Coturnix japonica: one gene and its partner. The protein of the gene in region 1 binds, or shares a complex with, the protein of each later gene. Links are inferred from orthologs where the notes say so. Each region holds a gene or a part of one and is shown in the gene's direction. Other genes may lie near its edges.

The links.
Region 2: EIF3J (region 1) and EIF3M share a complex: the UniProt entries of both Homo sapiens proteins name them as parts of the eukaryotic translation initiation factor 3 (eIF-3) complex. The link is inferred for Coturnix japonica from reciprocal best matches to the Homo sapiens genes EIF3J and EIF3M.

The regions. Positions count from the first base shown.
Region 1 is NC_029525.1:17,934,068-17,942,445, reverse strand, and holds the start of EIF3J (eukaryotic translation initiation factor 3 subunit J), read left to right. Parts: upstream 1-3,641; 5' UTR 3,642-3,656; coding exon 3,657-3,810; intron 3,811-3,918; coding exon 3,919-4,019; intron 4,020-6,670; coding exon 6,671-6,728; intron 6,729-6,937; coding exon 6,938-7,029; intron 7,030-7,726; coding exon 7,727-7,841; intron 7,842-8,180; coding exon 8,181-8,339; intron 8,340-8,378. UniProt on the Homo sapiens protein: Component of the eukaryotic translation initiation factor 3 (eIF-3) complex, which is required for several steps in the initiation of protein synthesis.
Region 2 is NC_029520.1:4,352,844-4,360,695, reverse strand, and holds part of EIF3M (eukaryotic translation initiation factor 3 subunit M), read left to right. Parts: intron 1-2,988; coding exon 2,989-3,072; intron 3,073-4,279; coding exon 4,280-4,379; intron 4,380-4,866; coding exon 4,867-4,948; exon of another isoform or gene 4,949-7,852. UniProt on the Homo sapiens protein: Component of the eukaryotic translation initiation factor 3 (eIF-3) complex, which is required for several steps in the initiation of protein synthesis.

The DNA.
Region 1 (8,378 bases):
TGGTTCTCTGATGCAGCTACTACAAGAGGTTGATATTTTTATAATGGCGCGTAACCTCCTGTTGAGGAGGCTTTTTATGGAAGGTATAATTTGTAAAAGTGAGGGTGCTGGCCTCTCGACTGCATGGACACGCCACAGGCTCAGACTGTTGTTGTGTGAAAGATGTCACAGAACGGCACTTTTTCTAAAGAGAAGTTCGATATTTTGTATGCTTGTTAAGAAAGTACAGTATTGGAAATTAAAGGTGGACAACCGAGAATTGAGAAGTATGTCAATTAATTTTTTATGTATATTACCTGTTTACTTGTACAATTTTATTGTACAAATTACATGCAGCTTCATTTTCAAATGAGTCCTTAAAGTAAGGAAAATCTTTTTAGGAAAGCATTTACTTTTTGTATTTTTGATTTTAAAAGGCATGAGTTATGTCAACTTTTTCCAGTGTATTAATGAAGATTTTAACTTTTCATCAGGTTGAGTGTTTTCTTACTATCTGACCCGTTGTGTAAGTAGCTATAGCACATTGTGTCACGGAACTGGTGAACAAGATTAGCATGTAGAGCAAGCCTGCTTTGTGGAGAATCCTTCTTCATTACAGAAATCATCGTGGCAGAATTTCTGCAAAAGAAGTGAGAACATTTGCGATCCACAATTCTTGGGGGGGGGTTTTTTGTATTTAAAGAAGGGTATTTTGCTTGCAGGAAAGAAATACTACAGATTCATTTTAATGAGAATCTTTTAAATGTATTTATCTTTAGGGCATCCGGGCATCTTTACACTGTTTGTCTTTATGTCTTTATTGAAATAAAATGTACATAACATGACCTTTATAAATGCTTTTGCGCAGACGTGTGGAGCTGTACCCATCCCCGCCCCCCGTTTTTATGTTGATGACATGGTTCTGGAAATATTTGTACGTTTTGGAAACGGTCGGCTTGTATTGGAATTGCTACATGGTTTGCCAACTATTTTTTAGCTGTTCGTTAAAATGTAAATCTGAGATTTTTAATGAGTTTTAACGGCGAATCCTTGTTTAACGTGGAGTTCTTCCAGATTTCTTTGGGTAATTTACACCGTAGGACTGCTTTACACATCACTACGCTACCAGAAGGATCCCATTTCTGTTCAGTAACTCCTGGCTGTTCTCTGACTGTACAAAGAGATGATCGTCTGTTCACGTAACGCCCCCGCACACGTGTGTCCTATCTGTGGCAAAACCCATTATAAAAGTGCTTTCTTTAGTTAAGGAAACCAAAGCATACATTGCACTTTACAGCTGTATCTGTGTTGTGATTATCAGATCAGTGAGGGAAATGGAAATGTAAATTGGAGGGTTTAGTTCTGCATAGATGCACAACGGAAATTACGGCGACTGCTTAGTGAACATATTAAATATGAATATTTTAATGCGCTGCAAGTCTGATATTTATCATTCTGAACTTTCTTTGCAGAATGAGTCCACCTTCAAAACGCAACTTCCTAAAATGTCAAACCTGCCATAAAACCCGAGTCTGTGCGTGAAGCAAAGCTCTGTTGCTTCAGCTTTGGTTTTCATCGCTGGGTCTCGAGGCTGAGGCCTCACTTTGGCTTCAGCCTGGACCCAGTTGTGCACGCTGGTAACCGAGGGAGGCTCAGCTGCGCCCGTTACCTGGGGCTGAATGTAGAACTGTGCTGCTTAAGCAGTTCATCTTGTAGCTCTGTCGTTTATTCCCACTTTATGGATGGTTAGGGAACATCCTATTCCCAAAGTTCTTAATGGTTTCATTTTTGTCTACGGCTTCGTTTGTGGTCTTTGATTATGGCAGCTGTTTGCTAACTGTGCGTGCTTGTCTGTATTCTGTCCTGGGTTTGAGTGTTTTTCGTTTGGGCAGCAAAACAACAATATTTCATACTTCTGTTGCTGGCTGCTTTCCCACCTTTGGTTCATTTCTCCTTCCATCTCTGTAGGAAAATATTTTTGTTGTTATTATTCAGATGTATCTGAAAACCTGAATGTTTCACGACCTGGTCAGACATCTGCCGGAGGAAGAGTTGAATGTGTGTTATAAGGAGGCGCTTCTTTAAGCAGAGCACTAAACGTGTTGTTCAAATAACCAGACGTGGAAGTGCAGAGCCACGTTCCTCCGTTTGTTTTTTTTCCTTCTGGTTCTGACTTCCTTATAGCACTGCATTGCGAATCATTACCTTTATTCTCTGTCTAATCAGCCTGAATCAGCCAGCACCTGTTAGTGTAGGCATTAAGGTAGATGATGGCACTTGGAACTTCACAAAAGAACCGAGGAAGGCCCCATTAGTGTTGGGGTGTCCGAACTGCGGCTGCAGGATTCCCTGTGTTGTTCCATTCTTCTGAATGGGGGGCTGGATCAGCACTGAACACACTGGGGAACTAGGAGAGTTATCTGTGCCTTCTCTGTCTCCTCTCCATCCTGTGCTCCCATTGCCTTCCATGTTAAGGACTTGGAGAGCACACCTTTACAAAGCTAAAGTTCCAGTGTCAAATGAATGTTTGCACAGTTGCAATGAATCCGGTACGTCTGGCCAGATGGAATGGGTTTCAGGAAGTCGAGGCCAAAAAGTAAACGCTCACAACATGTTGTCATTGAAAGAAAAGACCAGGCAGCTCCTGGTGCGATATCAGCGCGGCTGTTAGGTTTGTTCCAATAAGTGCAACGAGAAACTGATTGCTATGACATGAAAATAACGTCTTCCGCTGTAAGTAGAGTTTCAAGTCAAGTGTGGGTTATTTTGATGGGGAAAGGACTTGGGTCTGCGCAGCAAAGCAGGCACGTGGCTCAGCCAACTCCATGGAGCTTCTGTATCATTATCAGCACCTGAGACAGGTGGAATCGAACGATGAGAGTCAGGCTGTGCTCTAAGGGCTGAGCCACCGCGTCGCTGCAGATCCGCACCTTGGGTTGTGGGTGCTTAAAGAGAATGGTTCACAAGTTGCTAAATGGCTGATGAGAAGTAGCATAGGTGCGTTGTTTTCTTAGCTAGTTGTCATTATTTTGTACAAAAAGATCTATATAAATTAATAAAAAAAAAAAGCAACTTCTTTGTTTGGAAGCAAGGAAGGCTCGGCAAGGATTGCCTTGTACAGGTTCTGTTACGCACATCACTATTTGGGTTGTCTTGACTGTGTAATGTAATACTGTTTTGCTTTATTTTTTTTATACTTGCAAAGATGTCATTGTACCGATAGGCTGAACCTTGTAAAATACAAATGGGAGAGAACCAACGTCCTACAGAGCTGTGGTTTTTTTCTGCTGTGGTTTCAGGATATCGAATCCTACAGATTTCTATTAAATATTTATACTCCGGTTGACGCTGTGATGGTCTGTAGCTCTGAGCCCTGCCAGCTCCACTGTGCAGCCCAGGGGCTGCCCGGCCCAACGCCGGCACTTCCAGCCGCCTCAGCTGCGTTTCTGCCCCGTGTTCCTGAGGTGATCCCCGTCCTACCCAGCACCGAACCGCCCACCCGAGCACAGCGGGCCGGGACAGCCCCGGCACGGCCCGTCCAGCCCCGGCACGGCCCGTCCAGCCCCGGCACGGCCCGTTGTACCGCACGGCGCCCGGCCCGGCCCCGCCCCGCCGGGGGGAGCGGCCTGTCAGCCCTCCCAAGATGGCGGCGGTGCCGTCACCTCACCCCTCCCAAGATGGCGGCTCGGCCCCACCTCATCCCTCCCAAGATGGCGGCCGCAGGGGCGGGCCGTGCTCCCATGGTGCCCCGCGCGCCGTGCGCTGAGCTGCGGCTGAGTCAGCTCGCGCCGCGCTCCCGCGGCAAGATGGCGGCCGAGGCGGATTCCTGGGGTAGGTGTCGGCCTGGACCCGGTCCATCCGTTCCATCCGTTCCATCCGTTCGGTCCGTCCGGTCCTCGCTCCGCTCACCCGCTGTCCTTTCTGCTTCCCCCCACACAGACGCCGACACCTTCGAGGTGGTGGAGCCGGTGGCGAAGCGGTTGGTGCCGGGGGTGGCCGGAGATCGCTGGGCCGGAGAGGACGAGGACGACGACGTGAAGGTGCGTCGGGCCGGGACACTCAGCGCCGGGTCGGGCCGCTCCGATCGGATCCGGGCCGTGATGCGCTGTTGGCCGTCGGGTGTTGTTCGCTGTGGGGCCCGGGAGCCGACACGGCCCGAACGCGGCTCCTGGCGCGGTCCGGTACCGCTGGGCCACGGGGAGCGGAGTCGGGCCGGGAGCGGGTACGGGGAGCCGGGCGGGGAGGAGCCGGAGCTGCGGGGGGTGTCACGGTGCTGCCAGAACCGAGCGGGGCTGCAGGGCGGGATGGCGGCCACGGGCTGACGGAGCAGCGCTGGGATGGGGGGTTTGAGGCGCTGCAGCACGTGGAGGCGGGAGGATGGAGCCGGGCTGCGATACAGCGAGTGACTGAGCTACAGCGAGTGACTGAACTACAGCGAGTGAATGCACTACAGCGAGGGGCTGCATTACAACGAGGGGCTGCATTACAGCGAGTCTCCTGCCGCCTGGCCCCGCTGTGCTCCCAGCACGGAGCTCTGTGTGCACAGCAGCCGGGCAGCACGTGTGGGTGGGATCGGGATGGAAGGAGCCGAAGCTCACAGCAGCGTTTTGTGGCCGGTCCAGCTGCTGTCGGGGCTGTGACACGCAGCGGTGCAGCTCGGGGTGTCGCCTGGTCGCCACGTTGTGGTCGCTGGGTGAAGCCCTGCACGGTGCTGGGTGAGGGCTCAGTGCTCGGCTGGGTCGGGCTGTGCCGCTGTTTGGAGGATATTGGAACCACCAGCACCATTGGAGCTTAGGGTGGAATTCCTTCTGTGGGCAGTGTGAGAGCGTTCCCTTTATAAAGAGATACTTGTGTGAGTTAGGAGCTGTCTGTTCTGCTTCTGAAGCACAGTGACACCACACCCTGTGGTTATCACTGCTGTGGCATTACAGCACACAAGGTGAGTGGGGGTATCTCTGTGAGCAGCGTGGTTACAGCGTCACTGGATGCACGTATGTGACACTGGCTGCAGTGTGTGCGTACCTGTGTGTGTTTATATAGAACACATACAGAGCGCTGGTGAAGTTTGCTTTTCTGCCTTCCTTTGGAAGTGAGGAACCTTCCTGGTATCCAGCGTGTCCAGGAGAACTGCTCTGTGGGGTGGTGCTCATAGGGACAGCTCTGCTGTCATAAAGGAGCAGCTCCCCGTGTGCAGCAGTTTGGCTTCCTCCCCCTTTCTCGGGGTCACACTATTAGTACCAGAGCTGCACCTGGAGCTGAGGGCTGGATGGCAGATAGGAGTGTTTCATTTCCATTTGCTCGTTGTTTAAATGCTGGAGATCTCAGGGCTGAGCCTGGGAGGTGGATACTGGAGCTCCTTGTTTGCCAGGGTCAGCCTTGGAGTATGGATATAAGGGAAAGATGTGAGCGCGGTGTTTTGCGTGTTCATGTTCTTGCTTTGTTTCCTACATACTCGGATCCTGTAGTTTGTTTTGCAGTTGTTTTGATCTTAAAGTAACCCCAGAGTTCAGGAAACATTGACTTCCCCGGGTTTCAGATCATCATCTTCATTGGTAACGCAGCTGCTCTCAGCTGTTACCGGGCACAGCTTGCCCAGCAGACAGGCCTGGTGCCAACAGGGTTCGCTCTATTTATCCCTGGGCAGCTCTTGGTTGGAGGCTGTGCCCTGGCTCAGTGTCAGTGCTGGAGGAGGAGAGATGGGGCTCAGCTCCTGCTCCAGCTGCAGCGGTGGGAGCAGCTGCTGCACACTCACCCCTTGCACACTCACCCCTTGCACACTCACCCCTGCTCACTCACTCCTGCAGTGCTGACAGGTGCTTGGAGCAGCTTTGGGGCGGGTTGTTCCCATCTGAAGGCAGCAGTTGTTGGAGGAGGCGGTCGCTTCCTGCAGCCCCGTTGGTACTCGCTGCCCTCCTGCTCTGTGTGCTCGATCTAAACCCCTCCGTGCAGGCTGGGCACCGAGCACAGCAGTGCTGAGAATGGCTGTTTAAGAAATGGGTGTAACAGGTTTAATTAGATACGAGCTGAATGAGCGCTGCTGCAGATTCAAGTCAGCCTCCTGGAATGTGGATGGAAGCCGGCTCTGCCACAGGTGCGGGTTGGCCCAGGGGAGCTGTGGGGATGCGCTGTGACGCCGCGTTCCTCCTCCGGGTAAATGGCTGCTCTGAGTGCTCACGTTTCTGCTCTGAGGCCCAGCTGGGGATTGTGGTTGTAAAGCTCACCCATAACGTGTGCATGGCCTGCGTGGCTTCTGTGCAGACCAGGCCCTGCCAAAGGTGAGCTCTTAAGCTTACAGGTTCCACTCGTGCTGGTAACTCAAAGTAGATTCCTGGGCCATTTCTTGGCTTTAACTTGTGGTGCCACATGTACCTTCAGGGCTGTGACAAAGCGCTGATCTGTACACAGAGGGCATCAGTGGGACCTGGAGGGGCACCAGGGGAAGAACACGTGTCCATTAATGATACCCAGCTAATTGTTGGGAGGGGGCTGCACAGCTGACGGCACTGTGCTCAGCTCCCAGGTCAGAGCCCTTATTTTACAGCTCCAACAGCTCAACTCCCCACTTCCTAACTCAAATGAATGGATTTGAGAGCATTTAAAAAGGCCGTATGAAAGCTGCTGTCCTCTGCGTTTGCCAAGTAGAAATACGTAAAAGCATCAACATGTGTCTTAATGAAGACTTCCTTTGTAGGATAACTGGGATGATGAGGAGGAAGAGGAGGAAGTCAAGGAGACGGAGGTGAAACAAGGTGAGGCTGACCAGGAGCGACCTCAGTGTGTGCAGCTCCCGCTGCTTTTGTCTGTCTGCCCTTGTAGGGCTGGTTTGGGCCTTGACACAGTGTGGCCTCTGCCCCCCATCAGTGCTGCCAGCTCAGCTCTGCTGCTCTCTTTGATTTCTGTTTTCCTGGTTACTCAGAAACACTGTGGGATCTCAGGAGCTGTTTTGTTCAATTTACAGAGCCCAAAGTGTCAGAAAAAAAGAAAATAGCAGAAAAGATAAAAGAAAAAGAAAAACAACAGAAGAAAAAGCAAGAGGAGCTGAAAAAAAGGGTAATTCCTGTTGCTTTGTGGGCTGGGGAATGTGGAGCTGTGTTGGTTGTGGGTTGTGTGTGGGGGCTGAGCAGGAGCTGTGGGGATCCTGGGCTGGTGGGCTGAATTGAATGTCAGCTGTGTGCTGTGCACATGGGGCTGGTGGTGATAATAAGGTCTGGGCTGTCTGAGGGGAAAGGGAGGGACACCAGGGTCAGGTCTCACTGCGGGGATCAGGGGGGAAAGAGGTAATTGTCCACCCTGGGACAATGAGCTTTGAAGGGCAGCCTGTGCTCCCAGGGCAGTGCAGTAGTGCAGACAGCATCCTTTGTGAGAGCTGTGTCTTCAATGGTCCTGGAGCTGTTCAGGGCCCTGGGCTGCCCCGTCTGCTTTGAGATACAGAGGTTGGTGGCCCTGTTGGTGGGGGGGGGTTGGAGCTTCACGATCCTTTTGCTCCCATCCAACCTGAGCCATTCTGTGACTGTGTGTGTGCTGAAGGAATGGATGTGTCATTTCCATAACTCAGTTAAATTACAGAGAAATTAAACAGTTGGCGTTGTTATGATTAATTGGGATGGTTGTTGGGGCTGTGCACACTTGGAGCTCTGACTTCACACAGAAGGTTCTCAGATGGCACTGGAATAAACGTGGTTTCTTGTAAGCTCCCCTCAGTGTGATGTTCCCCTGTTACCGGGTGTTCGTTTTGTTTTAAATGCAGTTAGAGGCTCCAGAGGAACATAAAGAACTTACACCAGAAGAACAGTTAGCAGACAAACTACGACTAAAGAAATTGCAAGAGGAGTCAGACCTGGAGTTAGCAAAAGAAACGTTTGGTGAGTGTGTGCTGTGCCATGGCAGAGCTGTCAGCTGTGTGCAGGCCTGCAGGGCACTGCTGGGGTGCAAAGAACCAGGGGGATTCTGCACAGAGGGACTCGTTTAGAACTCTCTGTTAAAGGAAGGAGGGCTCTGCAGCCAGCACTGCCCAGAGCACAGTGAGTCTGTGGCCCTGCGGGTTGTTAACGTGGCCGTGATTTGTTTGCAGAGGACGGGGGTTGGAGGAAGTTTGGTTTGGCGGTGCTTGATGAGACAGGGACAACTGAATGGGTTTTGCTCTGGTGTCATCTTTCAGAGCCCGCAGCCAATGCGTTGTAACCGTGTGCCTTCCCTCGCAGGTGTAAATAACACTTGTGGAATAGATGCCATGAATCCCTCTTCAAAAGATGACTTTACGGAATTTGGCAAGCTACTAAAAGAGAAAATCACGCAGTATGAGAAGTCCTTACATTACGCCAGCTTCTTGGAAGCGTTAGTTCGAGACGTTTGTATTTCATGTAAGTACATTGAGGAGCTCCTCAGCCACTGCCAGGACT
Region 2 (7,852 bases), on another chromosome or scaffold:
GCATAGCAGGATCATTTTTACTGAATCTCCATTTAGGGGCAATTAATCCTCATGGAGTTGTTACACTGTGAGCTACAACATTATGGCAATTTCCTGTCATTAATGTTAAAATGCTTTTGCATTGATGATACTTCATAGCAGATTTCAACTGGTCAAAATCATTTCAAAAATGTTAGTTGGATTTTATATACGACATAGCACTTCTGTTTTAAAGTATTATACTGATAATCTGTAACGCTCTTACTTCTAAAACATTTCTCATCCTATTGATTTATTCAGAGGTTTTAATTAGCTAAATTCCCATATGTTATAGCTAACTATGTTTTAACTAGTCTTAATATCAAAATATGTGAATTAAACTTCTAGCTTTTGTTCTGTGCTATGAGTAAGCTTACTACCAAGGTTATTTAGCAGATAGTTGCCCAATTGCAGGGGAAAAAAAAGATGTTTTTGCTTACAAGTAATATTTTTTAAAGTGAGGCATTGAAAACATCTACAAACTCTGTAATATATTACTCTGCACTCAGTGTCCTTACCATCTGTTGCAGTGAGCTTTGCAGTGAATGGAGCAATTTTTCAGAGCACTTACGCTCTTCTCCAGGAAAGAAAACAAGGAGTGACCCCTGCACCTTTGACCTGGTTCACTCTCCTGGATCAGTGGGCAGTATTTGCAATAGTATGGGAAACTCACAGCAGCATTCCAGCTTTAGCACACAGGAATGCTGTTCGGTGTAGCGGTATGGGAAGATAAGTGGGAACTGAAAAATAAGCAATAAAAATCATACCTCAGTTACTTTGTTGATTTATAATCAAGGAAAAAAAAACATTGTTGAAAGGAATGGAATCTCGGTTCTTTGGCTTCCTTTATGTTTTAAGTTCAATTAACATGGCAGAAGAGATGGCTTTCCAGACCTCAGAGTTCTTTCCCCCGTGGTTAGCTTGGTAGCAAACAGCTCCTGAAAAGCTTGTTTTATCAAGTCTTTTCCAGTCACATTCTGATTGAAATTTCTTTTTTCTGATGATCAAAATCATCTTGAGCTCTTTGAGGAAGGGCTCTTATCTTTCCATTGGTCAGATAAAGAAAAATTGGTAGGGGCAGCTGGAAAATTGATAGCTGGTGTCGCATGTTTCTAGGTTTTTATATTTGGCAGATGAACTTTGCCAGAGGTAAGTTACTTTCTCTGCTACTCCTGATTCTTGCCATAAAGGTTTGCTGGTTGTTTTCTACATCAGCTTGCTTAATATTCAGCTTTTTCCTAGCTGTGTTGGTATGAAACATGCTGCACATGTGCAAAGCCATCTAAATTTGTTTCATTTCACTATTATGTGGCTATCTGTTCTTCTACACACCAGCATCAGGTGCCGTGACAAGGCATAGGCTGACCTCTTCAATTACAGATAATTCCTGCTTCCCACACTGTCTGAATATTTGCACTGCACATCTGTGACAGCTGGGAGCAGAAAACATCAAAACATCAACCTAGGAGCACAGAACTTCACTCTACAGAGAAGATGTCAAATAGCAGTTCTATGAGGTTTATGATAAATACTTATACAGTCATTGAACTGAAAACATAAAAAACTTTTTTTTTTTTATTGTAGCTTGTGCTGCTACTTAGTTACTTCCATATGAGCGTGGTACCTGCTGATAGCCTTGTGCAGGTTTAGTCCTCTCTTGTGCAACATCTGCCATTACTTTAAGTAGTTAAATGAATAAACTGTGTAACAATAAAGTCTCAAATTGATTTAAGCAAAACTTGGTAGGTCTACTACGCTGCAATTGTATATATGTTTTGACTGGAATACTGTTAATTTTCTTCATGGGGGAAATCTGCTGTATCTCTGCAGTTGACATACTTTAAAGGAAGAATTGAGCTTTACGCTGTAGCTCAGAGAGAACAGTATCTTCCCTTCCTGTCCCCTCAGAAAGTACTTCTGCATAAAGAGGATCCCAAGGATATGTGCACCGAAGCCAGTCTGTGTGCATGCACAGGGAATTTCAGCAAAGCTCACACTCTTATTATCAGATAATGGTTGTATCTACACACAGACGTGGTAGGCCACGTCTAAATACGAAGTATTAAGGAGGCATCAGTGAAATCTGTTATCTGTCTGGACAAACTATCGCAGCTACCATCTTTTGGTAGTTAGTGAGGATGCCATAAAAATAGGTAATAAGTTGTTTTTGATGATGCTTTTTTTCTTGTTCTGTTTTCCTGCTGAGAGCTTTGTAAAGAAGCACCAGAATTTGCTGGCATCACTCGTGGTGAGAACTGATACATAAAAATAAATAGAAATTAATTGACACAGTCTCTTTCTTGTCTGTTTGGAGATGGCTTGCAGTAACATTGAGGTGCTGTTTAAAACATCTGGGTAGACGAGGCTCAGAGTTTACTCCATTTTGTTAGAACGAATGCCTGTTTTCTAAAAGCTGTCTGTCATCGCAGCGCTGGGAGCTACTTGCTTCGAGGCAGTCTGAGTTGCTTGAATTGCTGGCCACTTCCTCAGTTAAATGAGCAGCTCTCACTCTGAACACTTAGAGACAATCTGTGAAAGAAGAAAAGGGAGCTTTTACACAGCTATTTTTCTGACCATAAATATCCTTTAAGATATGCCATTTTACATTTGAAATAAACTTTGCAGTGCTACTTATTCTGCAGTGATTAAATCCAGATGTGCATAAGAGGAGCATTCTAGTGAACCATATAAAGCTGTTCCGAGCTCAGAAAGCTTTTTCCATAACCAGCAGGTAATTTATCAATTTAAGAGAATGAAATGAAGGGTGAAGATAAACATTTTGTAGAACAAGAATTGAAAGAATACATCTAGTTAATTTGTTCTTTCCACTAGAATTAAAATGGATCATCTACATCTTTTCGAGTGTAATTTAATTTGACCTGCAACATCGTGATGGGATTATTTAAACATTTGAATGTGTTGGAACTATTTTTTTAGCTATCCTAAGATGACTTTATTTTTATTCTTCAGTGACACCGCAGCAAAAGTCATGGTGGAACTACTGGGGAGTTACACAGAGGACAATGCTTCCCAGGCTAGAGTTGATGCTCACAGGTAACACCGACTTCCCAGTTTTTAACTGTATTGCAGTATTCTGTTGATTGCTTTATGTTAAAGAGTTTGGAATGGCCTTTTGGCAGGGGCCTTTTTTCTATAGTGTAGCTGACCTGATGAAGAGTTTACAACCTGTGGCAGGTTTGGGTGTTTCTACATTCACTCCACTGTGCAAGCGTTCAGGAATAGTTCTGCTCACTGCTGAACCTTAGTAAAATAGGTTGTTTACATCAGGTATCAGAAGCTGAATTGTCTTCCTGTACTTCAGGGATTTTTTTTACTTGCTGCCTATTTGAATCTTGAACTTTAATGTTCTTTTATTGCTCTTATTTCTAGGAGCAAATACTACTAAGGATATGGAAAAAAATAAAACCACTTGGTGGATATGCTTTACTTACAGGCAAAATTTTGCCTTCTGCCTGCATCACTCTGACAGACTTAGATCTTTAATAAGTTACATAGGTCTACTCTGTGTGTATTAGCTTGTGCATAAGCTTGCAGGAGAACCAGAAGGACTTATTTTGTAAATTAAAACATTTGCATAAGTAAATAAAAACCTCAGTGACTACTGAAAGAACATCCCTGCTTAGAGTTGACCACACTGCTGTGTCAAGGTAGACTTCAGGTTCTTCTGGGTGTGTGTTATGTGGCAGGGTCGCGCTCTAGGCCATCAGCACTAGTGTATAGCACTAACAGACTTCTAATGTGCTGTTGAGCAAATGCTTTCATCTAGAGTTCTAGAAACACTTTAGGACTGTTTATAGTCTGGAGCTGCAACTGATAAATCATAGGTCTTGCAGTGTTTGGTATTGAGGTTTTCTCTGCTTAATGTCACATGTTCAAGTATAATTAATCTTCCTAAACGACTTGATTCTATGAAATTTTAGGAGGACAGTAAAAACACCACAAAGAATGAAGGTTTGGCTGGAAGTAAATGTAATAAATGCACAGTTGGATACAGTAGGTTCATCTGCAGTCCTACCACCTGGCAAATCTTAATTGTGATATGGGGCAAAGCACTGAGCACTTGCTCTTGTTTTTTTCCATTTGTGAAACAAAGATTAAAGTTACTTAGGAATGTGACATGCCTTATATTTAAGTGTAGTTAAAAACGCTGGAATATCTCCTAGAAAGCAAAGAAAAACAAATGGGGTTGCATCTGAAATGTGTATTGCTGTAAAAATAATCATTTCTCTTTTTTAATTAGATGTATTGTACGAGCATTGAAAGACCCAAATACCTTTCTCTTTGACCATCTTCTTGCCTTAAAGCCAGTCAAATTTTTGGAGGGCGAACTTATTCATGATGTGAGTAGCTTTCTTATTAGCAAGCTGGTTTTATATCTTACCAAGTCCTTGCCTTATTAATGTCTTTAGAAGGTCATTGGAATAGTGGGCTGTGTCATTAATCTCAAGTTGCAATGTACGAGTTTGTTTTTTTTTTAAATGGTCTTAGCATCAGAAAATTAAAATTTTACATGTAAATGTATAGTAGAAAGTTCCCCTCTAGAAGCTTCAGAAAATCAGTTACAAGTTGCACCTTCACTGTAAATTCTTTTGGCAAAACTGCCTTTCTGATCTGAGAAAATAATCACAGCACAGATTGCCCTTGGCTTTCAGCAGGAGACTTTAAGAACTGTAAACTTATTGTTTTGGGGATTGTTTATTTGTTGGTTTGTTGGTTTTTTTTTCCACTATGAATAGAAATTGCAGTGTTTCATGTGTCTGTGCTTTCTCCAAAGAGGGGAAACAGAAAATCTTTCAACTGTTCTTACATTTGTTTTCCATCTTCCAGCTTTTGACAATTTTTGTAAGCGCTAAACTAGTATCCTATGTCAAGTTTTATCAGAACAACAAAGACTTCATTGACTCACTTGGTAAGTTTTCAAGTCGTTATGTTTCTGTCATGGCTTATGATAATGGAACCGACAAAGGACTTCAGTTCCAACCCAAATACCAAAAGACAATTTTAATAGTGATTTTTTTCTTGGTGTCATTTTTTTTTCCTAAACAGTGGATTAGACTTGAAATGGACTGTCTACGTGTGGTTTGTAATCTATGCTAGGACAAACTATTTTGAGGGTTTCAAGTAGGAATCTGTTTTTCTCTGCTTCGTTCATTTAAACCCTTTTGGAGGGGATATTTAGTGCATTGGTACATCAGGCTGGGTCGGAGATGACAACTTCAATAAGTGAGACAGCAGCTTGTATAAAACTCTTAGTGAGCATTTTAAAAAACACTAACTTCATAACAGCAAATACTTCAAATACTTCCCCTGAACAGTAAGGTAAAACATGCAGACTAGCGTACGTGTGTGTGCATGTGCTGATGCATTAGACCTAGCAAGTCACAGTCTGTCCCAGTTAATTTGTTTCATCACATGAAGCAATGTGATGGAATGTTAATGTCAGCACCCTCTTTATTTACACACTGTGGAAAAAAGGAGTAGTAATTAACACTTTGACACTCCCCCGTGGATGTGTAATTGACTGTTTCAAAGGAGCACTGGTTCATAAGCTATTGCATGCATTAAAATTACGTTTTTTATATTCCAGCTTTTTAGGACAGGGGTCAGTGACAATGCAGAAATTGCTCAATGATGCAGGTTTTTTTATTACTGCATTAAGGTTTTGACATATTAGTAATGAATAAATGTTTCCATAAAAATCTGATTATTATTTTTTTTATAACTTTGATTTTGAAATGACACTTGAACACAAAGTGAATGCATTTGAATAAAGGCACAGTTGTACAAAAAACTGAGTTTAGTGCAGCCTTTTAACATAGGCATTATTTTTTTTAATGAAGCGTGGTCTAATTCTGAGAATAATTATGCTCAGAGCTTAAAAATGCTGGTATTCTGAGTACTAAAATGATAGTTTTTGGGGTTTTTAAGATAAAAATCAGTAAGTTTTCAGTAGTTTGTAACTGTGTGTATAGGATAGTGTTATCTTTTGTCTTTTTATCTGAACATTAACTATAAGGATGTTTCATACTTTCTAAGAGGAGAGGGGTTGTTTTTTTATATATATACATATATATATATAGAAATTACTTTTATGTGTTGAAATGGTTTATCTGTTCAGTACTTACCCATGGAAGTATTTGATGAAAACACAGTTATATCTGTACGTCATACAATAATCACGATTTATTTTTCTTTGCCTTCCTGTGTCTGTGTTTAATTCCATGAATACAAGGTCTACATCTTTTCAATAAGTCTGGTATTCAGGTTATACTAGTAAAATCCTTAAGTATATGTATAGCTGTTTTGTAAAACAACCTTCCCCTTACCTTGATTTCTCACCTTTATGGCACACTCAGAGAGTTTTGATTGTCTTTCAGCTATGAAGGAGGTAGAGATTCTGAAGTAGTTCAAACTGGAATGCTTGGAACTTGTTCTACGTCTTTCACCTATGCCTTAAAAAAGAAAAAAGGCAGATCAGTATAGAAAACAGTATGATTGTTAGAGGAGGCATTCAACAATTCTCTGAAACACCTGGATCTCTTCCCCAAAACAAGTGTTTTTAATCATTCTCTTCCTCAACATTTTCTCAAGTATTGAGCTTCAAAATAAAAAAGGATGTTGTTGATTTTGCAACAGATCTAAAATACTATTAGCTTTACTTGGATCAGAACCAATTACAATTAGTCCAAGAAAGATGTGCAATGAAGGCTCCTACAGGTGGCATCAGTTTGTTACAATTTGTTGTTTTATTAATGCTGACAACTTGGGCCAGCAGTAGCATTATCTGTGTCAACTGAATCGCCCTAACATGGCCACATTTAATCTGGTATCATCAGCAGCCTTTTTCAGAAAGTTAATCAGCATCTCATTTGCATTTGTTAATTAGGGTTAATGTACGCTAATTGATTTTTTGATGCTTGTAGATTTCCATTAAACTTGGTTAGGTATATTTTCTGATGCTTCTCATCCATATGAGTTATAGTGATCACATTTTTGTTGAATTGGTGCCAAATAGGGAGCCTGCATCATAATTACAGCTAATTAACACAACATGATGTCCTCTGCTAATGTGCTTTCCTATTGGAGTATGGATGTTATAAATTCCAAACTTAAATATTTACTGAAGCCATGTGGATGCTTATAATGTCATTCCGAAACCAAATGATTGCCATTCATCTTAAAGGAACTTCCAGTGAAGCTTAGTTGGTGCCCTGGAGAACTTGATAAAGAAAGGCTTTGGCTTATCCAGGTGCAGCTCTGTTCGCCTGCACTTTTACAGGAGTGAGAACTCAGATTTCCATGTGCCAAGCTCAAAGTTCAGTTCTTTGTGTTGCCATTCATGCTACCCTGCAAAAGATCTGACACATCTTAGCATCTCTTTACATGTACTTGAAGAACACTTGCTGCAGAACCATTACAGTTTTTTTAAGCACCTACCTGAGAATGAGCAGTGAGGCTGGAGGAAGGCTTTGACATCACCAGTTATTTTTCTTGCATTGCATGGCTCTGTTTCCTGTTGATCCAACTAAAAACATCACTTGTGCTCTTACCACCCGAGTTCTGTAAAGATGATGTCCTTAGTGGTTCAAAAAATCTCCACTCTCCTCTTTTTGGATGTTCATTTTCATGATGAATTAATAACTAAACCAGGTGTTTTTAGCAGAACACGAGGAGGATGCAGAAATAAATATTACCTCAAAAAACATTGATAAAGCCAGATAGGGTGTTTTCATTATGTGAAATTCTAAATTACTGCAAGGATATATAGTAAAAACCATGAAAAGCAAATTAGATATTATTGAATTAATATCCA